7 linked regions of the Canis lupus familiaris genome follow. Each later gene encodes a partner of the first gene's protein in a complex. Links are inferred from orthologs where the notes say so. Each region holds a gene or a part of one and is shown in the gene's direction. Other genes may lie near its edges. The genes, in order: MED4, MED20, MED31, MED23, MED8, MED13 and MED24.

Region 1 (3,374 bases):
CCTATTTCAGATAACCACTGTTAATGTTTAGTGTGTGTCCATTTTTTAGGTGTTTAATGCAAATACATATATATACATATATTCTAAAACAAAAACCAGGTCATGCTGTATGTATTATTTAGCAGCTTACTTTTTTTTTTTTTTTTTTTAAGATTTTTTTTGAGTGGGGGGAGAGAGCACAAGGAATGGGGAGGGGTAGAAGGAGAAGCAGACCCACTGAGCAGGGAGCCCAGTGTGAGACACCATCACAGGGCCCTGGGATCACGACCTGAACCAAAGGCAAATGTTTAACCAACTGAGCCACCCAGGCATCGAGCAGCTTAGTTTTTAAATCTAATGAGTATATTGTGGACATGTTTCTACTTGGGTCTACTTCTTTCCTTAGGGTCACGTTAAGTCACAATTGAGTGGTGTAGTATGAGCTGCTGCTTTAATAGCTAAGCTGTTAATGCAAGACAAAACACCCTTTCCTGTGTCTTATTTGTGTTCACTGTTGCTTTCAGAACAGTAGGAATGTTTAATGGTAGTTAGAAATCAAGGTCAGTGGGCATTATCATGCTAATGTCCCAAATATGATGCTTTATCAGCTGTATTTTCTAGATGTCTTGTTCTTTAGTTGGGAAATCTTATATGATTTAACAATATACATATTAGTTTTTATTAGGGAAGGTAGGTAACTCGGATTATCCTATTTTCAGGTAATTTAAAATTTAGTAAGTGACTTGTAAGTTACTAGACTAACATGTTACTCTCTCTTCTTGACTCAGGTGCCATCTCCTCTGAAGAAATAATTAAATATGCACATAGAATAAGTGCAAGTAATGCTGTGTGTGCTCCACTGACCTGGGTTCCAGGTAAAAACACTTCTCTTTTTATTAGGTATATATGGTTTTGAAAATTCTTAGGTAACTATACTTAAAAATAGGAAAAAAGATTTAAATATAGGATATATTTATCCTTAGAAACATCCTCCGTATATTTTCATATCTTTAATATCTTACAAGTAATAATTTGGGTTATGGGTTTATCAGTTTGGTTTTCTGCAAAGCTTTTGCTATAGAGACTGTGTTTTTGTCCTTTTTAAAGAAAAATCATAAATTGATGTTTAAAAGTACGAGATGATATGTAATGATTCTAAGCTGTAGATTTATATGTCTGTAATACCCAGGCTGGCCAGAAGCCCACTTCTTAGAACCATTGGGATTTCGTCAAGGGTTCTGGCCTTGGAAACGAGACAGTCCCAGATCTTCAGTGATACAGTGAAGCACTGAGTGCTCACAAACAAACACATGGGACTGGAAAGAGCTGGAATAATTAGAAACAACAAAAAGGGGTAACAAACTACAACATACATTGACAGCACATAAAACATTTATAAGACAGGGACCTGCGGTAGAGCAGTAATCTTCTGGGAGGAGTGGGAGAGTATCTCAGCATCAGAATCTCATGATGGTGGCATTTCACCATACTAAAAACACTAAGATTAACTGCAGTTTTGGAGGTGAGTGATCTGGAGTAAGAAATATTACTAAAAAGTTGGTCCAAATCTGCCAAGTTTTCATTATCCCAAAACTATCATGATTAGAAATGAAAGCTCCTGATAAACCTCCACTGGAAAGTTCTAGGAATTAATCTCTAAATGACAAGATCAAAGAGGTTGATTAGAAAAAGTTTTAATTTAGGTAGTCCTTCAAATAAGCAGTCCTTTCTGTCTTGTAAAAAAAAAAACAAAAAAAACAAAACACCATATATTTATTCTCCTTCAGAGTATGTATCATTTGTTCTTACTAGGAAATGTGGGTAACTTAGAAGACTCAAGATCATTATTATTTTCTTAATTTGTCATCTAGAATTGCTAAAATGACACTTTTTTTTTTTTGTATGGAGAATAGTATATTTCTGTGCAGATTCAGAGAAGAAATGCATGTATTTTTAAATTTAATATATTATGCTCTTAATCACAATTGATAAGATGACCTTCCTGTATGAAAATTGAAAATATATTTCTGAGTTTTTCAAAGAGAACCAAGGAAAATCAATACTTCAGAGAAGGTATTGCTGCTTATTTTGCATAAGATTCAATTAAAAGCAGTCTTTTTTTAGGGGACCCACGGAGACCATACCCAACTGATTTAGAGATGAGAAGTGGATTATTGGGTCAAATGAACAATCCTTCCACGAATGGTGTAAATGGTCATTTACCAGGGGATGCACTTGCAGCAGGCAGATTGCCAGGTAATACTAATCAGAATGGGGTTTTCAAACACACCAAAGTTTTTAAGACATGACTGTCTGGCTGTTGAACAAGTTTGAGAGTCTAGACCCAACTCGTTTTAATAGCTAGGTTTTTTGCCAGTTATCCTGCTCTGTAGATCAAAAACTGTTCTAGTTGGAGTTTATGAAATTAGAACAAATTGATTTCTCTGTCATTTATTGATAGTTTATTTGCCTTGGCATTAGGCCTTTAATTATTAAAATCTAAACAGCTTTTTAAATAAAATTGTGAAATATACTGTACCAACAGAATAAGAAATATAAATGTTCATTTTAAAGAATACAAAGTGAAATCACTCTTGAAAAACTCCCAAGTTAACAAAACGAGTAACAACTTTTTACTTTTGAATAACTAAATAGCACTTCTGTGAGACTTGGGCTGTTTTGAATTTCAGCCTTCCTCAAGTTTTACATGTAGTTTTGCGTTATTACATTTATTTTGTTTCCCACCTTTTATCTTCTGTAGGTGACTTGTTTTGATTTGGTAGAACATTTAAAAAGTTTTTTAAAACTGCTTAAAGGACAAACTGAGAGCTCACTGTGCATTAGTTTCCTTTGATATCTTTGCCTTTTTCTCATTTGGGTTATTCCATATCCTGCCAGTCACAGGCCAGTCAGGAGGCAGAAACCACATAGTAATATGAACAAGGAAAATTTAAAGAAAATTTGGTACTGACTACTAAAGGGTAAAGAGAGCTGTTTTTAAAAAATAGAGCACTAACAGATGCGGGAAGCATCTGTGGCCCACTGGATGGCAGAGAGGCTGGAGGGGGTGTTCCCAGGCTGCAGCCGGCAGGCAGGGATCCATCCACCAGCCTTCAGGTTCCTGGGAGCCCGGCTGGGAAGCCGCCTTGAGGGTGAGGGTGAGACTTCAATGCCCCTGAAACTTGCAAGGGAGTGAACACCGCTTGAGGTGCTTGATGTCCCTGCGCAGCCGGCACCACAGGCCTGAGAAGGAAAACTACATACAGATCCCTAGGCCTGGTCCCCTTGCACAGTCCCTCCAGTGCCCTCTGCTGACGAAGATTAACATGGTGGCTGCTGGCAAAGGAGAAACGTTTTCAGTGCATTCAAAGCTTAGGCAGTTTAAACTTGTAATA
Region 2 (4,937 bases), on another chromosome or scaffold:
GATGCTGAGAGGTGAAGAAGTACTAAAACAGGAATGGGATGGCTCAGAAGCCAAGTAAAGATACCGAACCCAGGAGGCCAGTGTTTAATTGTGTCAAACACTGCTCTCAGGACAAATGAAAGATGTGACCTGAGAAATGTATTAAGTGACCCGGAGGTCAACACTTACACCCTAAAAAATTAAAAAAAAAAAAGACCATCTTTTTATTAGTCTCTCTCCCTCTTTATAGCACCTAAACAATATCGTTCATTCTGCTTAGAGCTCTCTCTCCACTAGTTTTCAGCACCAAAGTCATGTAACCTAGGAACCCTGACCCCCAAAACTAATGCTCTTGTTTTAAGATGAAACTATACTTAAAAAAAAAAAAAAAGATTTTCATTTATTTATTTACAAGAAACACACAGAGAGAGGCAGAGGCATAGGCAGAGGGAGAAGCAGGCTCCCCGCTGGGATCCCGACGCGGGACTCCATCCCAGGACCCCGCGATCCTGCCCAGAGCCCAAGGCAGATGCTCAACCACTGAGACACCCAGGTGTCCCAAAACTATACTTTCATCATGAAATGTATTATTCGAATCGTCAATTTAATTGTCTCTCAGGTTAGACTGTAAGATCTTGAAGTCAGGGTCATGGCTATCTTGCTTCCTTTTTTACTCAAAACCATCTAAACTCCTACCTAGCACAGTGCAAAGTACGGACTAGACAACCTACAAGAATGTACAGAACAGATGGATAAACGTTAGGAGTGCTCAATAGTGTGACCAATTAACTTCTTGTTGGTCTAACTTAGAGACTGCCTAGACGCAAGCATCTAAAGCAACAAGTGGGCATAGAGAGCTCTGACCACCCTGAATCTATTCCAGGGCTGGGTCTCCCATTTCATCACCTTTGCAAGGGTGTGATGCGGACTCCTTATTCAATTTCACTTTTTTTATTCCAAAGGATTCCCCTGGCAGAACCTTTTGGCCGTCTATCTACTTCCCCCTCCCTCCAAAACTAACCACCCTCTTCCTGGCACCCCCCTCCCCCACTTACCCAGACGCGTGGTGCGCTCGCGCGGGGCTGCGGCCTTGTTCCCAGTCCCATGCTCGGTCTCGAGTTCCTCCTGTTGCTGCCGCGCTTGCTGCAAAATCCGTCGGGTCAGCCGGGGCCCCACATACTCTTCGTCCTCCTCTCTGGTCCCACGACCCCGCCGCTTCTCCCGGGGCCCTGCCCGCGCCGCGTCCCCAGCCAGGATTTGCTCAGCCAGCGGCGCATGTTTTTCCTGGCCTGCAGCTCCGCGAGCCGGCTTGAATTTGGGCATTTTTTTCCAGAACTCTGCCAGAAAGGTTTACACGTGGGGTACAGACGAGGAAAAAAAAAAAAAAAAGCCTTGAGCGCACTTGCGCCGTGAAGTCCCAGCTCCCAAGAGGCCCCCGCGGAGCTCACAGCGCCTCCCGGCGTCCGGAGGCCGGGAAGGCCATCAGCGCCGCCACACCCCGTAAGAGCGGGGCCTGGAGCCAGCCGGTCCCCGAATGAACTCACTGCTTCTAACGCTGGCTTCTGCAAGTGGTGGCAGTCCGAGCGGTGGTTTTCTACTTTCATAGATCGAGGACCTCTGTTCCCAGCCAAACGTGGACTTGCCTAGCTGCAAAGCCGGGGCCAGAGTTGGGTAGTGACGTCACTGGAGGCGTCACCGAGGAGATGCCTAGACCTGCCCCTGTTCCTCGTGGGCGCGTCGACTGGACGCTCTCCTTTTGCGTCATTTCCGGAGCACCTCCCTCGGCCGAAGCTTTCGTTAGGGGTCTTCACTTAGTGTGGGCGGCCAGAGACTACTGTGATCCGATTGTTTGTTCCTGCCATCCTCCTGGCCCGATACCATGGGAGTGACTTGGTAGGCCCGCAGGGGACTTTTTTGGGCGGCGCTCGGGGTCGGGAAGGGCCCCGGAGCCCGGAGTGTACCGGGAGGAGGGCCGGGACCAGGGACCGCGGTCCCCCATGAGCTGATGAAGATAAGATATCTTCGGAACGTGTGGGTGATGGAGACGCTGCGAGGGCTGCAGATTCTCCGCGCTTGTTTGCTCGGAGACACTTCCCTTCGTCCTGAAAGGCGGCAGGTGAAAGGTTTTGTCCCAGGAGCCCATCAGTGGTTGTGTTCCTCCTTCCCAGGAGGCCATAGGGCTGCCCGAGGTGGAAATTAAGGATGCCCGAACTAGGACCCAATCTACAGGCGTAGCTAGAGGAGGTAAAGGATAGGCAACGAGGAAACCGTCTTTTTTTAAAGATTTTCTCCTGCCCCTCCCTACAGCCACTTAATGCAGTTAGACCGGCCCGTGTCTGGTTCTGGTGCGGCCGTCTTAAGATTTTCGGTCTAGAGGGAAAAAAAAAAAAAAAATAAGCAGCAGCAGCTGTTGGGAGGTAGATTGGGGTTTAGGCACGTCACCTCTTCAGAATTCGTTTCCTACTATGTTTAATTGTATGGTTGGTGTAACTAATTACTATGGACTTTTAATCTCTCAACATGATATAAGTGGGGTGGCAGAGAAAGGTATGGGCCTAATGCTCTTGGAGAAAATGCTAGATTTTAGGGATTGTTTTGTTTTGAGTACCGGTAAGTATTAGCACGTTTCTAGTTAGGGCTGGAGCCTGTGGGAACCACTCTTTTTTTAAAAAAAAATTTTAATTTATTTATGATAGTCACACACACACACAGAGAGAGAGAGAGAGAGAGAGGCAGAGAGAGGCAGAGAGACATAGGCAGAGGGAGAAGCAGGCTCCATGCGGGGAGCCCGACGTGGGATTCGATCCTGGGTCTCCAGGATTGCACCCTGGGCCAAAGGCAGGCGCTAAACTGCTGCACCACCCAGGGATCCCTGGAGCTAGTCTTTCTGATAGCTCAGGTTCTTGTAGGCTTGTCGGTTACTGCACCTGTGTTTTCTGCAATGGATATTTTAAGCCTTTTCTAAGTTTTCTAGTGTAAGGGAGTGTATGAGGGTTGGAAGGAAAAGCTTGCAGCATAGAGGCTTGGAACCTGAAAGCCCCTGTTCTTTCAGCAGAAGACAGAAAGATGGAATGGGCCCTCAGTCTGTTGGGACCCTTAGCAAGTATATCACACTCCTGGTATTTCGGACCCGTGTAACGTCAGTTTAGATATTCTCTTATGTTTGTCAGTAAAGGCACGTTATCCATTGCTTCTGAGTTCATCTTCTGATGGAGAGTAGGGACAATTTTTAGCAACAGCAGTAGTCCCTCCTTTCCTCCCTCCCTCTGTGGTTGATTGATCATAAAGTAATGTCTTTGAGAATTCAGTAATATGTATGGTTTTTGTTTAGTTAAGTGTACCACCTGAAGTATTTATGAATTTTTTTTTTTTTGAATCTGTTTAGTTTTCTTAGAAGCATTTTAACCGGCAACTACTTGTTTAGGGAAGCAATCTAGTATAGTGAATAAGAACACAGACATGGAACCAGCATGCCTGGCTTTGAATCTTGGCTATACCACACCAAGCTATGTGACTTTGTGCAAGTTACTCAACCTCTTTGTTCTTCAGTTTCCTTACTTATTACAAGGAGATAAATAATAGTCATCTTCTAGGGCCGTTGTGAGGATCCAAATAGTTTATTTGTCTAAAGGCCTTTTGGACACTGCCTGGCACGTGGTTGGTGCTTAATGATTGTTACCTACTACTATTTTTTTTTTTTAAGATTTTATTTATTCATGAGAGACAGAGAAAGAGAGAGAGAGAGAGAGAGAGGCAGAGACACAGAGGGAGAAGCAGGCTCCATGTAGGGAGCCCGACTCGGGACTCGATCCCAGGTGTCCGGATCAGGTCTCGGGTTGAAGGCAGTGCTAAACTGCCGAGCCACCCGGGCTGCCCGTTACCTACTACTCTTAAGGGGAGGTCGGTTTCACTTACCATAGAAGGAATCTTGGAAATAACATTTTTATCTCATTGTTTTGATTTTATTTTTGTACATATCGTTGCCTCTGACTCCTAAAGATTACAGACTTGAGGCTTGCTTTCTCTTTGATCCTAGGGCTGTTGAATAGAATTTTCCATATTGGCGGAAATGTTCCATAACATCACTGTCCAATATACTAGCCTCTGGTCACATGTGGCTATTGAGCCTTTGAAATGGGGTAGTGCAGCTGAGCAGTTGAAGTTTTAATTTAACTTGTTTTATTAGTTTAAGTGTAAATAGCCACATGTGGTTTGTGGCTACTGTACTGGACAACACACCTTCAAAATGTTAGAGAATTGGTAAAAACATACTAACCTCAAACAGATTTTCCTAATTTAGGCAGAACTGAAGGAATTGCAAAGGACATCAGTGTTATGGATTACTCTGTGTGCCACCTAAAACTGCTTGAATGTTGGCACACGTGTCCTGGTTGGAAAATGCTGCTGTGATAGGAAGTTCACTAAGTTGGTAGGAGTGTCCTGAGACCTGTGTTCTAGTTCTTAGTGGAGCTGTTAGGAACTGTGAGCCTCTTATTTCCTCATCTTTAAAATGAGAGAGACGTTCAGGATACATGGTCTCTAAGATAACTCCTGGCCCTGAGGAGCTGTGATTCTGTGTGTGAATGATTGGCTCAATGAGTGTGCATATGCCTCTGAATACTTATGATTTGGTCTTTTCCCTTTCAGTGTATCCCAGATGCCTGTGGCCGAGGGCAAGAGTGTCCAGCAGACGGTGGAGCTCCTTACTCGGAAATTGGAGATGCTTGGGGCAGAGAAGCAAGGAACATTTTGTGTGGATTGTGAAACCTACCATACAGCTGCCTCCACTCTTGGCAGCCAAGGTCTGTGAGATGGGTCTGCAGGGTGACTGGACCCTCACTTGCAGTTGATTGACATTCATATTCATTGAAATCTTTATGCTCATTTCCTAAGCGTGGCATTCTTGAACATGTGGCAGATGTTTCCGAATCCATTAAATCCTGATCCTTTGACTGGTG
Region 3 (3,141 bases), on another chromosome or scaffold:
TCTTTAAAAAAAAAGTTTTCTTAATGGACTCACTTAGATTTTGTATCTTTTCTATTTGAAATAATGTCACGTACAAAATAGCTGGAAAAAAATAGTAAAGAGAATTCCTGTATATTCTTCACCCAGATATTGTAAATGTTAACATCTTCCTGAGAACATTGATGTTAATATATTCTGTAGTCTGCAGACCATTCTGATTTTTTTTTTAAGATTTTATTTATTTATTCATGAAAGAGAGAGGCAGAGACACAGGCAGAGGGAGAAGCAGGTTCCATGCAGGGAGCCTGAGGTGGGACTCGATGTGTCCCCCCATTCTGATTTTGTCGGCTGTCTCATTAATGTGCTGTGTCTGAGGCAGTACCCGGTCTAGGCTTCTAGGTGACATTTTGTCTCTGGGTCTTCTTAGTCTTAACCTGAGTTTCCTGGTACTATTTCCCTTATACCTGTGACCCCAAAGTGATACTGTAAGCTTCTTGGTATATCCCACCAGGGTTCCTAGGAAGTCAACCTGACCTACTACTTGTGATGTTAATTTTGATCCCTTGGTTGAGGTGGTGGCTGCCAGGTTTCTCCATGTCAAGTTACTAGTTTTCCTTTGTTTTTAGTAAGTATCTTGTGAGGAAATTTTTTGAGACTATGTAAACACTTTGTTTCACGTCATCCTTCTACCCCCTAATTTTGGCTCTATGGAACAATTTTTACTGCTCTATGGAACGATTTTTACTGTGATTTTCTATAATTTTTTCTACTTTTTTTGTTGTAGTTCAGGCATAAGGAAGGAACATTCTCTTATTCCCTGTTTATTTAAAAGTTATATCCGTGTGGGCTCTTGGATTCTATTTATCTCTTGGATTGTAATCATGTGTTTTCTTGGTGCAGATTTGGCCTGTAGGAGCCCCTTCAGGTTGGCTCCTGAGTACCTGGGACATATGCCCTTAGTGTTTGGAGTACTTGGCTTTCTGGTACTACATAAATGTCCCCAGCTCATCTTATGCCTTAGCCCTGGAATCAGCCATTTCCCCCATTGAACGCTGGAAGATGCTGTTGGAAATGTATGATCTGGGCGCTGAGTGTGCTTGTTGGTACCACAGGGTCCTTGTTTCTAGGCCATCTTTGGAAGGTGTGTGTGTGTGTGTGTGTGTGTGTGTGTATTATTGTGTCTACTTCTAATCTTGAAAAGCGATCATGCTGATGTTTTCAACTGCTGCTCCATAACATAGGTCCATCCTAGCCTCCCGCCTTTCCCGGTAACTCCTTTTCTCATAGTCGGAAACTTGGCTTTTGTTATCTATGGTTTATTATTCACTTACTTGGCTGCTCAGGTTTAGAGTGTATGTGAAGTAATTCCAGAATTGTTCTATCCTCATGGGACTCTAGAACACAATGTTCGTACATAGTTCTTTGTGAAATGGACTCACTTTTGAATAAAAGTTGTCTTTATCACTATTGATGGAAAACCAGTAGTTATCAATTAAACAGATAATTACTAAAATAGAGTGTTCATCTTCCTCACCTTGGATGCCATTAGAATAGAGTAGCTTGGTTTGCCCTCAAAGCTGGATTCTGCCTACCAGTTATTGTGTGGTCTTGGGCAGATTGTTGAATCTTTCTGAACTTGTTTTTTTACTTTTTGAAAATTTTGCATCTTGCTGGCTCTTGCTGCCTGGCTTCTCTGCATTAGCAGGGAAAGAGAAGTGACCTGAGTCAATGTTCTAGAAACGGCTGGTTCCAAGATCACTTTGAGTGAGTGACTGGACTGCAGCTTGGTGCTGTTGACCAGATCACGTGGATGACTAACTTATGCCCTTAAATCCAGGTACCCTCAGTGTCTGCACATGTTAGAGCTGCTTCAGTATGAACACTTCCGCAAGGAGCTGGTGAATGCTCAGTGCGCCAAGTTCATTGACGAACAGCAGATTCTGCATTGGCAGCACTACTCGCGGAAGCGGATGCGCCTTCAGCAAGCCCTGGCAGAGCAGCAGCAGCAGAATCACGCGGCGGGAAAATGAAACCCTGGGGCCACCCCGGTCCTGACGTGTACATGCTGCTTTTGTACCATGAACACACAGACTCTCTAGCTGCCTTGGTGGGGGTAGCACCTAGAAGCTTTAGTGTACTGTTTCATCCAAATAACTTTCTCTTGTTAATAGATTACTTCTGTCAACCAGCGTTGTTCTACTTTGGTTTCCTTGTGAATTTGTAAGTTACTAGTACCTAACCAACTGAATAAAAACAAACGTTAGGTGATTTAAACCAGCCCAAGGATGCAGTGAGGGATGGGGTAAGGTGGGGGGGGGGGGGCACCAAACGTCCCGAATTCTGAGCCGAGCTCTGTTCCCCACATACAGTGGGGCCTGGGCAAGTCCACTGCCTCTGACCTTCCTGTCTCCTTGTCTACAGAATAAGAGGAACAGAGTCAGTGATTTCCTTAAATGAGAGCAGGATCTGCAAGAAGGAGTTACTGCTGTGCGAGAGGGCTTCAAGAAACAGTTGTTGGCAGTCACTGACCTACTGATGGTGGGGAGATAGATCAGTGGCTAACTTCTAATTGGACTCTTGACTTTGGACTAGAATAAGGAGGAGAAGCCTCAAATATGTGCGATCATCCAACCGCTAACATTTATGTGGCATGTGCTTCATTTGTTCACGGTTCACCTGCAGAACCAGGCTTGTCTGCGGTTACACAGCTCAGAACTGCTCATCAGTGTCACTGATGCATGAATTGGGGCTCTTGCCACCATGAGGTTATATAACAGTCTCCAAGCTCTCTCTGCCACCCACCTCATCCAGCATAGTAAAAGCAAAGTGCCTGCAGTGAGTAGAGGCTGGATTAAGTGTGCTCTGCTCTCCACTGGTTAGGTTCAGTTCTACTTTCTAGAGCCAAAGAAGATGCTTTAGGAGTAACAGTTCTTTATAAATTTGTAGCATTTATGGTAAAAGATGCTAACTCCTTTTGAGATTTGGAATTTGTTTTCTGTACTGGTAGAGACTTTTAGACATTTCTGTCACCTCCATAATCCATTCCCTTGTGCTATTACTGTCACCCTTGAAGACTTGACTTACCTACATCTTAAAGATTCCCATATATTACAAGCAAATTGAGAGTTTATGAGCATTTTAATAACACTTAAAAAAGATTTT
Region 4 (4,388 bases), on another chromosome or scaffold:
TTAAAAAAGATGCAGACCATATCATATATCCCATGCACATAGAGGTTTGTATGATCAGTGACAATTCTTCAACAAATGTGCTGTCTTTCTGTGTTAGTCTTATAATGGAGTCCAGCTGCATCATTCTAAATTATTGAACCATTTTTGCCCACTTAAATAATTTTATATTATTTGTTAAATAGATTGGCGTGGCATTTTATGACATGTTACTGAATGTAGACCAGTGTAGCACCCACTTAAATTACATGGATCCCATCTGTGACTTCCTATATCATATGAAGTATATGTTTACTGGTGACAGCGTAAAAGAACAAGTAAGTTAACTTTATCTTTTAATGATGTTTACTTTAGAAAACTTGAACATATGTTGATATACTTTTGTTTGAGTATTTTTGTTATGTTTTTTCTTTTAAGGGGAAAAGGTTAATATTATCAGACCTTTTTAAGGCTATGAGCACATTATTCTACATATGTAATTCCAGTAATAGTGAATACATGTTATAATTTCTCATACTTTTCCCCTTGATATTTGCAACAGGACATCTGGAAAAGACCTAGGTAGTTGATAAATAGTACTCTCATTAGGAAGAAACAATACAGAATGGCTACTTTTTAAAGACCAGAGAGGTGCTGTGTAATGAGTGAAGGAGATTCTACTTTTCGCCACAGTGACTAGGGTATGCACTATGAGGACATTGGACAGATTGCAGCATGACTTGAAGACTGAAGCCAGGAAGATCAAGGGAATAATTCATAAAGGGTATTTGAAGGAACTGGAGGTACTTAGATTGAATTTTCAAAGTCCTAGGGAATTGTTCGTGTTCTCATTATTTGGAAGGTTGCCATTCAGAATAGGCATTAGATTTGTTCTGTGTCACTTCAAAAGGCGTATAAACTCCAGTAAAGTTAAAGGGAGGCACATTCTGCTCAGCATGTAAAGAGCCAGTTCCTAGTAAAGTGATCTGAAAATGGAAAGGATGTCCTTGAATCATAACTGAGTTTCCTATCTATAGGAAACAGAAGCTTGGCTCTTTCAGAGGGAAGAGGTAGGTCAGGTAGGTGAAATGACCTCCCCTCCATAGCTTAACGTTAATTTTTTCTCTGGTAGGAAAGGAAGGTAAACTGATATTTAAACCTATGAATCCTAGTCTACTGGATTCTTGACTTGGAGCTAGGGACATGGGGTGGGGAGGATATTGACTCCCTTATTGCCTCAGCAAGATTGTCACAGTTGAGTGGGAACCAATACAGAAATGTTTTATTTAGCATATCTTTTATATCTGGACCTGAGAAACTTTGACACAGGGAATACAGAAAAGAAAAATTATTGGGCAATCTCTTCTGGTAAGGTCAAAGAACATTTGAATAAAGCTAAGAAAACCATGGAACTGCTTGATGTTTTTTATTTCTTTAAAATATTTTAAGTAAAAGTAGATCTAATATTATTTTGTTTGAATTCCAAGTATAAATCAAAACCAAAACATTAATTTATAGATAAATGTTACAGATATAAGTTATTCATATAACTTCAAAGTTTAATCATGCTTCTGTGATGATGGCATTTGAAAAGGGTGGTGAACTGGGGGCCTGGGTGGTATAGTTGGTTAAGTGTCTGACTCTTGGTTTCAGCTTAGGTTGTGATCTTGCAGTCATGAGATGGAGACCTGTGTCAGGCTCCGTGCTCAACTCGGAGTCTGCTTGAGATTCTTCCTCTCCCTCTGCCCCTCCCACTTATACTTGCTCGCTCTCTCTCACAAGTAAATAAATAAATAAATATCTTTTTTTTTTTTTAGAGAGATTTATTTATTTATTCATGAGAGACGCAGAGAGAGGCAAAGACATAGGCAGAGGGAGAAACAGGCTCCATGCAGGGAGCCCGATGTGGGACTCGATCCTCAGATCTCAGGATCACGACCTGAGCCAAAAGGCAGATGCTCAATTGCTGAGCCATGCAGGCATCCCTAAATAGATAAATCTTAAAAATATATATTTGAAAAAGAAAAGGATGGTGAGCTGGTTGGATGCATAAAATTTCTAGTGTAGGGGATCCCTGGGTGGCACAGCGGTTTGACTCCTGCCTTTGGCCCAGGGCACGATCCTGGAGACTCAGGATCGAGTCCCACCCACATCGGGCTCCTGGTGCATGGAACCTGCTTCTCCCTCTGCCTGTGTCTCTGCCTCTCTCTCTCTCTGTATGACTATCATAAATAAAATTTAAAAAAAATTTTTTTTTAATTTCTAGTGTAAGCTATATTAACTTTTCACAGTGGGATGACTGGCTGGCTAGGTAAGTGAGTATGTTTTTGTAAGTTGATACATATATAGACTATATGTACATACTCATATGCACATACATAATGTGTTTGAGGGAGAACACAATTTTTTTCCTCATGTAAGAGAGAAATGATTTTATTTGCTTTTGTTAAAACATAAAACACATAAAGAAACTTCTCATCCACTCCCTAGTTTATTGCCTCCATATGTGTATAAAGCACTTTTTTAAGGGTGGGAGGTTGAAATTCTCTGGTTAAAATACTTTTTAATGTGTTTATTTCTTAGGTAGAGAAGATTATTTGTAATTTAAAACCAGCTTTAAAACTTCGTCTTCGATTCATCACACACATTAGCAAGATGGAACCACCTGCAGTGCCTCCACAAGCCATAAATAGTGGGTCTCCAGCTCCTCAGTCTAATCAGGTGCCAGTGTCATTACCAGTAACTCAGTGAAGTCCTCTCATGTACGGTGTTGACAATGGAAATACATTTGTCTTTGAAAATGGACTCTAATCTATTAAATCTGAACATAATCAGGCTACATAGTGGTGTAGTAGAAGCAGTGATGTTCAGATTGTCTTATTTTGATTCAAACGATGAATCTACTGATACTTTATGACTCCCACCTCTCTATCTATATTTTTGTCTCTAAGAGATCAAGTAAGCTACATGTTGGCCATATCTATAACTGTTAGTGCTACCTAGTAATACGGAGGGTATCTGTGGTCAAATGAGTTTCATTAGATACTTCCAGTCTTTCTTATTCTAGCCACTGGTTTTATTTTTAATTTTTATTGTTAATGACTTCAGTGTTCAAATATATTGGAAAAGAGTTCTCAAATGATTTTATACATAAGTCTCTTTTGGTGTATGTTTGGGATAAGAGATTTTTTTTTTGTCAAGTGAAGGCCTCTAGATTTCATTGCATCTCAGGACCAAACACAGTTGCATATTCTTTTAAAAATGGCTTAAAATTTTTACCATAGGCTTCCAAATAAATGGGTTAATGGTTCTATCAACGTAGATTGGCAAGTTAGTTGCCTTTGCTGTGGACTTGAACTTATTGTATGAAATGAGTTGGAAGCCATGTAAGAAAATAACATAGAGGGACACCTGGGTGGCTCAGTGGTTGAGCATCTGCCTTTGGTTCAGGGCGTGACCGTGGGGTCCCAGGATCGAGTCCCACATCAAGCTCTCTGCGTGGAGCCTGCTTCTCCCTCTGCCTGTGTCTCTGCCTCTCTCTCTCTTTCTGTCTCTCATGAATAAATAAATAAATAAAATCTTTAAAAAATAAATAACATAGAAATGCATACACTTAATAAAATCATGCTTAAATGGTGATTCTCCAATCTCTGTTATTTAAAACAAATTAATTGCTTTCCAAGTTTGACACTTTGACCTGGCCTATGATGCGATTCTTTAAATTTTTATAAAAAATCTTAAAATTTTTAAGTATTTGTATTTTTAAATATAGCATAGTTTTTGGTTCTTTAGGGTTTATCAGATTTTGAAAGACAAACTGTTAATTTGGGCAGAGAGAGAATGGCATTAAGATTGTAAAAGACTTGAAAAATAATCAGTAAAATCTGTTGGATAAATAAACGGTTTGATTATTTATTCAGTCTGAACAAGTGTCTGCTGTGTTCCAGGCAGTATGCTGACTGGGTTACAACAGAGAACTGGGCTGTTTCTATGGGTTGTGCACTATAGTTGGTGACTGACATTGGCCTAGGAATTAAGAGTTACTGCTTTTTGTTGTTTTTTTTTTTTTATAAAGAATCAGAGAAGTTTGACAAACCATACTTCAGATCTTTATTTCCAAATACATTCCTCTTAGACCTTTATATTCCTTGTGGTTCATATTTTTCTAATCATTAAATCTTTATTTGCCATGTAAGTCCAGCTTAAAATTTCTTTAATTGTATAAATAATTTTTCTAGGTTAATAATATCCTTAAAATTCTCCAGAAATTTTAAGCTAGAAATGAATTCAAGTATTGCTTTTAACATAGTTTCAGTATGTTCTCACTGTCTTGAAGAATATGTCTTGAGATCGTAGAATGGAAATAATTGTGACGCTGATATTATACCCACAATAAAGGAAGTGAAAATCAG
Region 5 (3,865 bases), on another chromosome or scaffold:
AGACCCCTTCGAGGCTACTTTACTGAGAACATTGTGACACCTTCTTACCACTACCAGGCCGTCTGTCCTGGACAGCTTCGCCTTGCTCTCTGGACAGTTGAACACTTTGAACAAGGTCTTGAAGCATGAAAAGACACCGCTGTTCCGCAACCAGGTCATCATCCCCCTGGTGCTGTCTCCAGACCGTGATGAAGATCTCATGGTAAGAAGAGAAGAAGGGCATAACATGGGAAATTAAATTCTTAGATGAGGGCTTAGGGCACAATTGTTGCTTGGTAATTTTAGAAGTTCTGAATGTGTAGTGTGTGGTAATAGAAAGCAAGGGCTGCTTTATTGAGGCCTTTTTTTCCTTCTGGAATTGGGGAGCTACTTCCAAGTAGTGCCAAATAAACCTGAGGCCTCTGTGCCCAAGGCAAAGACCTTTCTCCTCCAATATCTATCTTGAGGAAAAAGTGTGTTCTTTTGTGATTTTTGTCTGTTTTGGTATTTTATTAAAATGTAGCAAAGAGAAACTTGCCTCTAGGTCTGGTAGAAATAGAGGTGTGAGCAGATAGAAATGAAGCAGGGAGTAAGAGCAACAGTGTTCTAGGAAGCCAGATACTGTAAGTGTCAGGCTGTGTTTTCCCCAAAAATGTACCATTTGCCAGTGGAAGGAGCTGTGTAGCAAGCCAGATTGAATTGTCTTGGATTGCATGGGAGGATCAGTAACATCTGTGTGTTACAGCGGCAGACTGAAGGACGAGTGCCTGTTTTCAGCCACGAGGTGGTCCCTGACCACCTGAGAACCAAGCCTGACCCTGAGGTCGAAGAGCAAGAGAAGCAGCTCACAACAGATGCTGCTCGCATCGGTGCCGACGCAGCTCAGGTTGGACCAAGTCACTGCCCTGCTGCTCCCCCCTCCCCTGGGGCCCTTCATGAGAAGCTGGGCAGTACTGTTGGTGTCTGGTAGGGGTGCGCAGTTGATTATATAAAAGTTGCCCCTGGAAGAGCACAAGGAACAGCCCTCATCACAAGTATTTCCTGTCTGCTCTGATCTCTGCACAAATGTATGTGTGTTACAGAAGCAGATCCAGAGCTTGAATAAAATGTGCTCAAACCTTCTGGAGAAAATCAGCAAAGAGGAACGGGAATCTGAGAGTGGAGGTATGGAAGGATTGGTGGCAAAAATGGAAGAGGGAAAGGAGGAGAAGATGACTGGACTAAGACTGGTGGTTTGGGTGGTGGTGAAGTGAGGATAGAAGACAACTGCTTAGGAGAGGGATGTGTCCATTCTGTTTGCCGTTTATACTGAAGGCCAGCCCTGGAGCAGGCAGAGGAAAGGGGCAAAATGAGAAGGGATAATTCTGAGATAGTTGTGGGGGTCTCTTGGGGTCTCTTTCTCTGGGCTGCTGGTGAGTGTGGATGCTGCTGAAGCCCTGAGGCTCCTGGGGCTGGTCTTCCTGCTGCCAGGTTTAGTCCAGGGTCAGAGGCGCATCGCAAGCTCCTCACTTCCCCTTTTTCTTCAGGTCTCCGGCCAAACAAGCAGACCTTTAACCCCGCAGACACCAATGCCTTAGTAGCAGCTGTGGCCTTTGGGAAGGGGCTGTCTAATTGGAGGCCTTCCGGTAGTAGTGGTCCTGGCCAGCCCGGCCAGCCAGGAGCTGGGCCGATCCTTGCTGGAGCCTCAGGATTACAGCAAGTACAGATGGCAGGAGCTCCGAGCCAACAGCAACCACTGCTCAGTGGGGTGCAGATGGCCCAGGCAGGTCAAACAGGTAAGGTGGCGGAGGATGACATGGTAGCAGACTCAAAGCAAGGAAATAGGGATAAGCTGGATTGTCTGGGCCCCCAGTATCCCAGAGTTGGAGATTTTCTCCTATCCTCCTTGGACTGTGACCCAGAAATCAATTTTTAAGAGTAAAAAAACTCTTTTGAGACTCTGTAGCAGGTACCAGCGAAAGGAAGAACTTCGAGCAGCAGGAACTGCACCTCCCAGCCCCATCTTAGAGCTCTGTGTCAACTACCTTCTTGTCCCATTTACTCTGGACACTGAGTGTGCTGTTGGGGTCTTAGACCAGTGGGTGGGCCTCAGTTAAGACCACTCAGTAGGGATGCTGGGATTGAAAGACAAGCAAGTTATGTGTACTCTTTTCTTTGTATTCAATCTCTCTGATCTACTGTTAATAGTTATGAGAACAGTCTGGAGGAGTTCAGATGTGCGTAGCTAGAAGAGGTGTTTTGTGTTTTGTTTTGGTTTTTTTGTTTTTATCCAAAGCCCTCCAGGAAATGGAGCAGTTACAGTAAGAGAGAACAGTCTTTCGCCTGTGACAGTAAATGGGGTCTAGCTGTCTTTTCCGGAAGTAGCTGAGCACGAGACTTGCTGGGGTGTGTTCTGACCCCTCCTACTATCAGTCCTTTTTTTCCAGATACCTTCCGGGAGAGGGCTGGTCAGGACCCACACCTCTAATCTTTGCTACCCGGGGTCAGAGGCCACAGAGGTTCTGAGCTGAAAGAGCGAAAGGGTGGCAGAAGGGAGCCTGGGAGACCACCTCTCTGATTTATCATGAAAGTCTTAAGGTGCTTCAGGTGTCTTTCTTCATATTCCTTTTAGGGAAAATGCCAAGTGGAATAAAAACCAACATCAAGTCTGCTTCAATGCATCCCTACCAGCGGTGAGTGTGGCCGGCAACTTTTCCCAAAGCTGGACTAGATGGGTACAATAAAGAGAACATGGGCTTTCAGCGCCAGACAGGTTCCAGCTGCACCACAGACGAGCTGAGTGACCTTGGGCAAGTGACCTGATTTTTCCGAGCCTGTTTTCTTTGTAAATGGTGATACCTACCTCATAGGGTTGTTGTGAGGACTGAAATGAGAAAATGAATGTAAAACAGTACAGCCTATGAAATAATGAGCATTCAATAAATGATAGTTTCTACAGCCACTTCTCCCACTGCCCTCCTCAGTCCTGGATCCAGAACCCAGCGGGATCTGATACTCCTTCGTGTCAGCGGTGAGCTGACGGACACAAGATCATGGACCACTCTGTTCTGTTTGGAAGCCTGTCCATATTTTATGGTGCCGGAAACTGTCACAGCCTGTGTATGTCTTTAGAGGCATGTCGGCTCCACAGGCCCCCCCTGCCCAGGTTCCATCAGGGCCATCTCTCCAGGCTGCCGGCAACGGGGCTTCTGGGCTGGGTCAGAGGGTCCACCCACAGCTCTGGTGAAGCGTGGGCCTGCCCTCCCCTCTCCTTCACCCTATCTTATACACATCCAAGAAGATGCTGAAGGTCTAGTAGGTGTGGGGTTCCCAGGAAGTGGCTCTACCAGGTAGGACTGTGTGAGAAAGGGGCTTTGTTAGCACATGAAGCCCCTTCTCCCTGGACTCATTTTTCTTATTTTAGAGGGAGAGGGGAATCACGCTTCACACCGTCTTTCTTCTGGGTTTCATTGCTCTCATAATAGCTCCTGGTTCCTGGACTCGGGCCAGGATGGCTTTCCTCCAGTCCACTAAAACTGTGGCTCAAATGAGAGAGCCAGATTGCTGGTGGGTGGGGACAGCCCTCAGGACCTCTGCATGCTTTACATAAAGCTGAAGAGCAGAGTGAGTTGGGTCTGCAACCTAATCCCCCTTTCTTGGTGCTCCTTTGCAGGCAGGGGCAGGGTTTGAGTCCGGAGAAGACCAAAGGGTTTCTCTGAAGTCCTTTAAATTGATGGCCACGGGGTCCATGTTAGCCGACAGTGATTTACGAGGGAGCTCTCTAGGGGTCAGAGGCCCTGTGTCAGAACTTTCAGAGTTGCTGCAAGGTGGTTCCAATTTGTTCCCCATAAAATGTCTTCTTAGCTTTGATTAGCTTTGATCTAAAAATCCCAAGAGGTATGCAGAG
Region 6 (4,388 bases), on another chromosome or scaffold:
TGTGAAAAATAGAGTATTTATTTTTCCTTTTCCTGTATAGATGGAGCAGATGGAATGGGTATCTTTGATTTGTTAGACACCGGAGATGATCTTGACCCTGATATTATTAATATTCTTCCTGCATCTCCAACGGGGTCTCCCGTACATTCTCCAGGATCTCATTACCCCCATGGAGGTGATGCTGGCAAGGTAACCCTGTTATAAAAGCTTAGTTAATCTAAACGTTGTTCATTAACTTCGTGTAATGGATAGAGAAATGAAATACTGTTTTTTCCTTGGAAATGAGCAAGAAGTGAGATTAATGGTGCATTCTTGCACATCTGTCTTACAGATGTTAGTATTTTGAATTATGCATTATAAAGAGGGTCTCTAAGTTTCTACTGTCCTTGACTTGCTGTTTTCTAGATTACTTGGCTTTAGTCCTCCTTTTGTAGTTTTCCTGCCACTTTACTGTAGCTTCTGATCAGGTATAGGATCAGATTATCTGAGAATTAGTGTATGCTCTAAGAGCTGCCATTCATTATCAGAGTTGTGAGGAGGAACACAATAGAAATACTGATTTTTCTCATAAGAACAGAAGAAATGCTGACCACTTTCCTTCCCTCTGTCTTAATTTTTAGTATTTGGGAAGCAGGCTGTCTTGTCCTTCTATTTGAACTCAAAACTAACTGGGCTTGATTTGAATTACATCTTTATTTGGGTGAAACTATATATAGTGATTATTTGATTGTTATAGCATGCATATGTTTAGAAGCCTGTCTTTAAAATAAGGGAGGATCTTTGTCCAGTTTTACCTTGTATCCTTTTCTTCCTTTTTTTTTTTTAACTGAAATGAAGTGAAATTATTGGGGTACCTAGCTGGCTCAGTCAGTAAAGTATGCAACTCTTGATTTCGGGGTTTTAAGTTTGAGTTCCACATTGGGTGTAGAGATTACATAAAAATAAAAAAATCTTGGAAAATTAGATTATTGAAAAGCTATATATATGCACCACTAATCTCACTACTTTAATAAAACCATTTTTACTTTTAGCAAATTACCTTCCTTTCACGTATATTTATATTGCAGCTCTCAATATGTATAAATAAGTATAATCAGCTTTTTAATGTTGTTTTCCCATAATTTGTTATGTCCCAAAATATTGGACCTTTAAATATTTTATTTTTATCTGTTATAGGTAATGTTGCAATGAACTTTTCCATGCATATCATTTTGCTTCTTTTTATCTATTTCCTTAACATAAATACCAAGAACTACATGGACTAATCTAAAGGATATGAGCATCACTTACTAGATGTCCCTTCACATTGCCATAATGCTTTCCAAACGCTAATAACTACATTTTATAGTATTAGATGAACAAAGTGAAATTTAAATTATCTTTTGGATTGAGGTGTGGTGGTCAGGAATTAGTTGAGGGAGTATTAGGAAATAAGTTGAAATTTCATTAAACATTTGGTTGGAACACACTGAACATGACTCAGCATAATACTACCAACTTGTTAAACAGTTGGTATGTTAATTTCCTCATACAACCCTTAAAACTCTTTTAATATTGTTACTAATTATGGTCTTACTAAGTACATAGCAATTGATTTTTTCAGTATCCTTTAATATTTTTTTAAATTGATAAAAAGAGATTGGTTGCCATAAACCATTCTGTGTATCGAGTGCCTAGGTATATCAAATGAACTAACACACTTTTAATTCTATTTAAGGGTCAGGGTACTGATCGGCTACTTTCAACAGAATCTCATGATGAAGTAACTAATATTCTTCAGCAACCATTGGCCCTCGGTTACTTTGTATCAACTGCCAAAGCGGGTCCGTTACCTGACTGGTTCTGGTCAGCATGTCCTCAAGCACAATATCAGTGTCCCCTTTTTCTTAAGGTATTTCCATTTCTATGCCAGTTCCTAAATAATGCTAATTGATGCTTAATTCCTAAGAAATATCGAGAAGTGTCTAAGGTCTTATTAAATGCACTGTGAAATATGACAAAGTCACAAAGAAGTTCTCTAATTACAAAACAGCTCTACTTTTTAAATTGATACTAAGTTTGGACATATTTCTGGGACATTTGTTCTTATTATTTGCAGCTGCACATATGGAAATTTAGCGCTGGGTGAAACTTGTATTACTTTTAATCTAACCTTTTTCATTTTCTAGGTGAGCATGTTAAAGTTCAGAAAAACTCATTTTTCCAAAGTCATAAATGGGTAGTAGACTCAGGACTGCAGTCTGGATCCTTTCATGATTGTGCTGTTCTTTGAATTACATCCTACTGCTATTATGTCACAGTATTTTGGGTTTAAAGGATTCATAGTTTTGTAAGAATATTTGATAATAGGTCCATTTACTACCTCCTTAAATTTTTTTTCTAGCTTTGTGTAAATTGCTGTGTAAAACTATTAAGTGGTTTTCAAGTACTGAGATTCTCAGATCCATAGTGACTTATTTATCAAAACAAGTTCATTAGCAAGTGACATATCAAGGTTGAAATACATTATAAAATCGTAAAATGAAATGTGAAAGTCCTATCCAGAGTTTGTTAGTTTGTTACTGCTGCTTCTTACTACTATTCCAAAATAGGAAATTCAGATCTGATTCATTTATTTTTATATATACGCACAGAAGTTGACTATTGTATTCCAGAAGTCAGGGTAACCTAACTTCTTGCCAACTGATTTTTACTATAGGGTAAAGTCGGATACTGTGGTTTAGTTTCTTGGGGTTATATTTTCGTGGGTACTTGAACCAATAGGCTTGCTCTCTTTTAAGCCTGTTGCTATTAAATCTTGATACCCTTAGCCCACATATCATTGAGTCAGTGACATTTGAGACTAAGCATTGAACTTCTGTAGCACATTCATAAAGAATACAACAGCTGTTGATCTGAATTGACTATTGATGTGATAATATATTAGGAAGTGTCAGCCAAGGTAATAAAGTTTTATCATAAGATTTTTCTTCCCCTTCCAATATATGTACAGTGGTCTATACAGACCTCATTACAAGAACATATTCCCAAGTGTGTTTCTGCAAAATAGTAGTCCTTGGTGTTTCTACAAAACAAAGGGTTCTTTGGTCCTTTGGGAAGTGTTGCACATGCTTTCTACCCCCTTTTGTTGTTAAAATACATGTATGCACATTAAAGCCTCTGAAAAACAGCAGCAAATACCATTGTATACCTATTTCCCAAACTTACTTTAATACACAAGAAAGCGATTGTGTAACACCAATTAATAGTTCATGACCTTAGTGTTTCACGGAACATTTTTTTAGGAAACACCACTTTACAAAAAGTCCAAGGGACTATCCAGATTCTTTTCTACTCAATATTTATTTGCAGAGAGGATAGTGTAAAGTGGGCATTCACCCTCAGATACAGTGTAACAAGATTAGGACTTCTGGTCTGAATTACCAGGTAAGGCATAATTTACCATAATTTTGTTCACCTTTTGTTTTCATACATTCCATCTTATTTCCTACACCATAGGCAAAAATACCACCTGATGTGTTTCTGTTTACTTGGAAAAATAATAGATTTTTACCTAGATGATTAAAAGATCTTTTTATCATAGAAATTAAATGGTGATTTCTGGTCCTGACTATATTCATTTAATTTGTAGTGATCTGCCGAGACTTTTGCTTATAACTTATAAATTAAGAGTTTATGGGCAGTTAAAAAATATATATCTTTGATTATATCCTTGAATATATAACACAAGAATTTATATACATGTTACAGTTGTAGAGGAGAGATCACCTAAATATAAAATAGTACCTTTTACAGTATATGGAATGAGATCTGCTAAGAGTTTCTCCATCTCTCATAGTTTTTTTTAGCACTTTATATATAATGACTCCGTAAACAAAAAATGATTCACTTTAATTGAAATTCCTTTCTTCCACTCTTCATTGTCATACCAGAATGGGTGTGGCAGTTGTCACTAAGCCTCCATTATGAAATTGCATGGGCAAAAGAAGGCACTCTATGCACTGCATTAGAGTCCTCACCGTTCCACCACAGGTAGCTTTAAAATGTATAGCTTTTGTAAGCATTATATTTGCATATGCTTACTCCTGTTACATTTTTCAGTGCTAGACCTATGTGGATGTGCATAGTCTAAAGTTGTGTAACCTGTAGACAGACTCTTGAGGTTTATCAGCTTAGTGCTTCCTTAAACATTGACACATCTAGGCATGTTACACTGAAAAAGTAGATAACTTTAAATGACTTTTATGTAAATTCTTTTAGGATTATTATGTGATCTTAAAAATAGAGCTAAAGAAAATAAAGTAAGATTGAATATAAGCTATGCACTTGAAAATTACTTCTGTAAGCAAGAACAAGAAGCATCTTTATAGTGGTGCCCATTCATCACA
Region 7 (4,388 bases), on another chromosome or scaffold:
CTCTTCCCTAGTAGGGGTGTGCCAGGCACTCTGGGGAACATTGATGTGGGTAATATTTCAGCCCTTGGAGCCAAGACAGATTTTGCATCCTTTCCCGGTAGCTGTCATGGCAAAGCAGAGGAGTGCATCGGGCTGTGCCGGGCCCTTCTCAGCGCCCTCCACTGGCTGCTGCGCTGCACTGCAGCCTCTGCGGAGCGGCTCCGGGAGGGGCTGGAGGCCGGCACTCCAGCAGCTGGGGAGAAGCAGCTTGCCATGTGCCTGCTACGCCTGGAGAAGACCCTCAGCAGCACCAAGAACCGGGCCCTGCTCCACATCGCCAAACTAGAGGAGGCCTGTATGTCCCCTGGTTCCCCTGAGCCCCACCTGCCACTGTTCCCATAGCCGGTTCTTTAATTGAGAGGGGAGAGGCAGGATGCCATCCCACTTCTTTCCAGGAGGATCTGAAATCATCCCACTTCCTTTTTTTTCTCCCCATAAGCATTGCATACATCCCAGGGACTTGGGCAGGGTGGCACCCGAGCCAATCAACCAACAGGTATTTACTGAGCATTATTGTATGCCCAGCACTGTGCCAGGTGCTGGGGGCGGGGGGTGGGGGGCTACCAAAGGAGCATGTGGCAGGGTCCCTGCCCTCAAAAAGCATACATGCTAGTGGGGAGCAAGACCAGTATGTAATATACATGGAAGAAATTAGAGGACAAGAGAAGCACACCATCCATCCTTGTGTTTGTCTCCACACTACTCATCTGAAAACAAATGCCTCTTGTTGTTTGAGTGTTGCCTAACATGTCCCTTTAAACATGGTACCTGTCTGCTATCAGGCCTGTTGTATCATACACCTCTTGACTCAGGTGCAGATGTTAAATATTGGAACTCTCCAGAGTCTGAGAGGAGACAGATAGGAGGGGAAACTCTAGTGTTTCTGGACATGGGGCCCAAGGCCACAGTCGTGTAGTAGCTTGAGGCCACCTAAGGTTCTCTTACTCTCCAGCAGCAAGAATGCTAGAATGGATTACACCCAGGTCTTCAGGACCTGTTTGGAGAATTTATTATAGGATTTGTATATTTGTTACTTCTTAAAGTATGTTTTGTTACCTGTCAAAAGTCCAGAGAGATGATCCCTCCATAAAAATGGACTATGTTGATAGTGTCTTACCTATCTTGAGCCCTTGACAAAGGTTTTAGTGGCTGAAAAGTGAATGAATATTTACCTTAATTTTAATGGATCTTAGGTCTTACCTTTTTGTTTTTTTCCCCATGCCACATGGAGGTTAACAGGCTAGTTGGTACCAGTATTCATCATTTGACCCTCTGGAGTTGTAACTAGGATAAGTGACTCTTAATTAAGTGCAAAATAATTCGGTATAGACCGTGAAACAAGCATTTAGGAGGAGAGGTCAGTGGGTTGGACCAGTTGGGTGAGTTGTGGAAGGAAGGATCTGGGCTTGAACAAAGGCTTGAGGAGAGTGAGTTTGTGAGGTGGTGATGAGTGTGGGCACCTGCAAAGAGGGAGGGCAGTGAGAGCAGAGGCCTCAACAGGGCAAGGCAGGGGTGAACCCGGGAGGCTGGTTGGGAATCTAACTTAGCCCTATATAGTGGTGGCCGCTTGCAAGGCTGGCTGCTTCTAAGGCGATTTGTGGCTGCCTCCCTGTTCTAGCTGCTGGACTCCAGCCCCGCTGTGCCTCTCCCTGCCACTGCCCATGTTAAGCCATATCTGTGTTAGGCTCTAAAGTCAGCTACGTGCAACCCTAGGAGGCAGGCCTCTGGGGATAGTTTCTAGGGCCTTCACTGTTGGTGCTCACCTCCCCATCCCCCTTCTAGAAACCGTGCATGCTGCCCTCAGGCCCCTGGCCTCCATGTCATCCTCAGGGGAAACCTCCATGTGTGTGTTTGAGGGCCCAGAGAGGCCAGTTGAGGAGCTCAGGGCCAGTGTCTTCCTCTCTGTTTGCCATCGTATGTCTGCATGTCCTTTTCTCCACCAGCCTCCTGGACTGCCATTGAGCATTCTCTCTTGAAGCTCGGGGAGATCCTGGCCAGTCTCAGCAACCCCCAGCTCCGGAGCCAGGCTGAGCAGTGTGGCACGCTCATTAGGAGGTACTGGGCCCCAGGCTGATTGGGGTGGAGGGAGAGAGGAAAGGCCCTGGGTGTGGGTGGGGAGATGTGGCTCCTGGCCTCCACTCACCTGCTCTCACCTGCCCCCTCGCTGTGTACCCGTTCCCTTCAGCATCCCCACAATGCTGGCTGTACACTCGGAGCAGCTGCACAAGACCGGCTACCCCACAGTTCATGCCGTGGTCCTGCTCGAGGGCACCATGAACCTGACAGGCGAGACCCAGCCCCTGGTGGAACAGTTGATGATGGTGAAGCGCATGCAGGTGGGGGGCCCAGGGCTGCTTCTCCATCAACATGGTGGCCTGGCCACTTGGGGCAGTGGGGAGGATTCTTCTGGTACTTCTTGGGAGGAAGGGGATTTCTCCTGATCCCATGGTGGCAATCAGATCCCTGTCGTGCACGGTGGTGCCATTTCACCTGTTCTCACATTGGAGTGGTGAAGCACCTGTCCTGCACAGTCTCTGAGCTTGCCTGACCGGCCCCTACCATCCCCCCAAACCCTGGGACCTTCAGAAGATGAAGGGGGATGGACACCCTCTTAGTCTTCACTTTCGGATCATCCTACAGCATATTCCCACCCCACTTTTTGTCCTGGAAATCTGGAAAGCTTGCTTTGTGGGGCTCATCGAGTCTCCCGAGGGTACGGAGGAGCTCAAGTGGACAGCATTCACCTTCCTTAAGGTACCTGGCACATGGGAGCAACAGAGCCAAGTCTAGAAATGGTTCTCAGGAAAAGCAGCAACACCTAGGATCTTTGTCCAGCATTTCTCCCTGCTGGTGTTGGCTGCAGCTTGCCAGGTCCTCCGGTGCAAGTTCCCATCGAGTCTTTTCTCTGAAAGTCCTGGGGCTATATTTAGCCTACTTGGCAGGCGTGTGCCATCTCTTAGCACACAGGTGCCGTTTAGCTCAGTCATCAGCAAGATTGGCGCGGGGCAGTTATAGGAGCCAGAGCAGTGGCCCCGGTCCTTGAATCAGGATTCCCTTTGCTTATGGCAATTCCTTGTGGAGACAGCAGAAGTGAGGGGTCTCTGTGTCCTGTAGGCATTGGGCACTAAGCACTTAGATGCCTGCCAATTTTCTAATTTGGCCCTAAGAGTACTTTCATTTCCAAGGTGGAAGGGATCCTGCGTCTGTTCAGAACAAGGAGATGGAAGGGATGCCTTTAGTTCTGGGGGAAAGAGAGAAGAAATTGATCTTCATGTTTTTCTCTTGCCTCACTCTCTAGATTCCACAGGTTTTGGTGAAGTTAAAGAAATACTGTCATGGGGACAAGGTAAGTTGAAGAAATGAGATTAGGGGAAAGGTGGTCATGGGAATTCGTGAATCCTTGTTTCCACAAGGGCAAAGGAGAAATGGGCAAGGGAGGGGTCAGTCTTGCATTCTTGCACCTGGGGGCAGGCTGGAAAGGTAAGTGCGCATGCTTGTGTGCATGCCCATTCTCCAGATAGAGGTGGCCAGGCCACACGAGATGCAGAGGTGACCAGGGCCAGTGTAGAGATTGGTCCTCTACACTCCTCCCTGTCATGTCACTGGAAGCCAGTGGTGGGCATGGCCAACTTTTTGGTGTTTATGTCCAATGGGGTGTCCTCGTAAACCTGCATCACAAGCTATGGGTGGAGTAGAGGACCCAGAAGGCAGATGGCAGCTTCTGGCTCTTTGTAGGACTTTACCGAGGATGTCAGTTGTGCTTTTGAGTTCCTGCTGAAGCTCACACCCTTGCTGGACAAAGCTGACCAGCGCTGCAAGTACGAACTCCCCTAGCTCACCCCTGCTCTACCTTCTAGAAGGTGTTCTGGCTCTTCCCCAGCTCCTTTGTGCCAGGCCAATCTCAGGGGACTGTCACCTGGTTCGTACCCCTGAGCAGGGGCAGGAGGCCCCAGCCCCGTAGTTGCTGGGTGCCAGAGCCCATCTGCCATCCTGAAGGAGGGAGGAAACGAGGCAGAGGCCTACTGTCCCCATCCCTCAGTCATCCCTGCTGTGTGCCCAGGCCCCTCATGATCTTTTTCCCTCACAGCTGTGACTGTACAAAATTCCTCCTCCAAGAATGTAGCAAGCAGGGGCTTCTGTCCGAAGCCAGTGTGACCAACCTTCTGGCCAAGCGGTAAGCATGAGTTCCCCCCGGCCTGGCTGACGTGCCACTTGCCCCCCTTTCCTCCTGTCCAGGCTGGACTGCTGGGTGCCTCTCCCCTTCCCGTGCAGGTGCCTGGGGCCATGCCTAGGCTTACCAGGAGTGGCAGACACGGGTTTCTGTGCACTAGGCTTCTGCACCCTTGGGT

The links.
Region 2: MED4 (region 1) and MED20 share a complex: the UniProt entries of both Homo sapiens proteins name them as parts of the mediator complex. The link is inferred for Canis lupus familiaris from reciprocal best matches to the Homo sapiens genes MED4 and MED20.
Region 3: the proteins of MED4 (region 1) and MED31 are in contact, whole or in part, in a cryo-EM structure (PDB 8TRH), measured with the Homo sapiens proteins. The link is inferred for Canis lupus familiaris from reciprocal best matches to the Homo sapiens genes MED4 and MED31. Residues at the interface, in NP_054885.1 of Homo sapiens: Glu147, Tyr151, Arg154, Ile155, Asn159, Ala160, Val161, Cys162, Ala163, Pro164, Trp167, Arg173, Arg174, Pro175, Tyr176, Pro177, Met182, Leu186; in NP_057144.1 of Homo sapiens: Gln19, Glu23, Gln26, Cys27, Ala29, Asn30, Pro31, Ala64, Lys65, Tyr66, Leu67, Lys68, Tyr69, Pro70, Gln71, Asp98, Ile102, Trp105, Gln106, Tyr108, Ser109.
Region 4: MED4 (region 1) and MED23 share a complex: the UniProt entries of both Homo sapiens proteins name them as parts of the mediator complex. The link is inferred for Canis lupus familiaris from reciprocal best matches to the Homo sapiens genes MED4 and MED23.
Region 5: MED4 (region 1) and MED8 share a complex: the UniProt entries of both Homo sapiens proteins name them as parts of the mediator complex. The link is inferred for Canis lupus familiaris from reciprocal best matches to the Homo sapiens genes MED4 and MED8.
Region 6: MED4 (region 1) and MED13 share a complex: the UniProt entries of both Homo sapiens proteins name them as parts of the mediator complex. The link is inferred for Canis lupus familiaris from reciprocal best matches to the Homo sapiens genes MED4 and MED13.
Region 7: MED4 (region 1) and MED24 share a complex: the UniProt entries of both Homo sapiens proteins name them as parts of the mediator complex. The link is inferred for Canis lupus familiaris from reciprocal best matches to the Homo sapiens genes MED4 and MED24.

Annotation. Positions count from the first base shown.
Region 1 is NC_049243.1:3,373,095-3,376,468, forward strand, and holds part of MED4 (mediator of RNA polymerase II transcription subunit 4), read left to right. Parts: intron 1-767; coding exon 768-854; intron 855-2,103; coding exon 2,104-2,235; intron 2,236-2,426; exon of another isoform or gene 2,427-3,374. UniProt on the Homo sapiens protein: Component of the Mediator complex, a coactivator involved in the regulated transcription of nearly all RNA polymerase II-dependent genes.
Region 2 is NC_049233.1:10,766,252-10,771,188, reverse strand, and holds the start of MED20 (mediator of RNA polymerase II transcription subunit 20), read left to right. Parts: upstream 1-1,719; 5' UTR 1,720-1,858; coding exon 1,859-1,872; intron 1,873-4,626; coding exon 4,627-4,781; intron 4,782-4,937. Other genes in the region: BYSL (bystin), read right to left, coding at 1,035-1,302. UniProt on the Homo sapiens protein: Component of the Mediator complex, a coactivator involved in the regulated transcription of nearly all RNA polymerase II-dependent genes.
Region 3 is NC_049226.1:30,898,111-30,901,251, forward strand, and holds the end of MED31 (mediator of RNA polymerase II transcription subunit 31), read left to right. Parts: intron 1-1,816; coding exon 1,817-2,009; 3' UTR 2,010-2,253; downstream 2,254-3,141. UniProt on the Homo sapiens protein: Component of the Mediator complex, a coactivator involved in the regulated transcription of nearly all RNA polymerase II-dependent genes.
Region 4 is NC_049233.1:378,732-383,119, forward strand, and holds the end of MED23 (mediator of RNA polymerase II transcription subunit 23), read left to right. Parts: intron 1-182; coding exon 183-314; intron 315-2,559; coding exon 2,560-2,727; 3' UTR 2,728-3,902; downstream 3,903-4,388. UniProt on the Homo sapiens protein: Required for transcriptional activation subsequent to the assembly of the pre-initiation complex. Component of the Mediator complex, a coactivator involved in the regulated transcription of nearly all RNA polymerase II-dependent genes.
Region 5 is NC_049236.1:16,884,958-16,888,822, forward strand, and holds the end of MED8 (mediator of RNA polymerase II transcription subunit 8), read left to right. Parts: intron 1-57; coding exon 58-202; intron 203-724; coding exon 725-865; intron 866-1,061; coding exon 1,062-1,143; intron 1,144-1,505; coding exon 1,506-1,754; intron 1,755-2,590; coding exon 2,591-2,655; 3' UTR 2,656-2,920; downstream 2,921-3,865. UniProt on the Homo sapiens protein: Component of the Mediator complex, a coactivator involved in the regulated transcription of nearly all RNA polymerase II-dependent genes.
Region 6 is NC_049230.1:34,697,835-34,702,222, forward strand, and holds part of MED13 (mediator of RNA polymerase II transcription subunit 13), read left to right. Parts: intron 1-40; coding exon 41-189; intron 190-1,717; coding exon 1,718-1,891; intron 1,892-3,351; exon of another isoform or gene 3,352-3,426; intron 3,427-4,388. UniProt on the Homo sapiens protein: Component of the Mediator complex, a coactivator involved in the regulated transcription of nearly all RNA polymerase II-dependent genes.
Region 7 is NC_049230.1:22,463,681-22,468,068, forward strand, and holds part of MED24 (mediator of RNA polymerase II transcription subunit 24), read left to right. Parts: intron 1-101; coding exon 102-334; intron 335-478; coding exon 479-535; intron 536-1,982; coding exon 1,983-2,094; intron 2,095-2,224; coding exon 2,225-2,375; intron 2,376-2,679; coding exon 2,680-2,793; intron 2,794-3,337; coding exon 3,338-3,385; intron 3,386-3,774; coding exon 3,775-3,857; intron 3,858-4,126; coding exon 4,127-4,213; intron 4,214-4,388. UniProt on the Homo sapiens protein: Component of the Mediator complex, a coactivator involved in the regulated transcription of nearly all RNA polymerase II-dependent genes.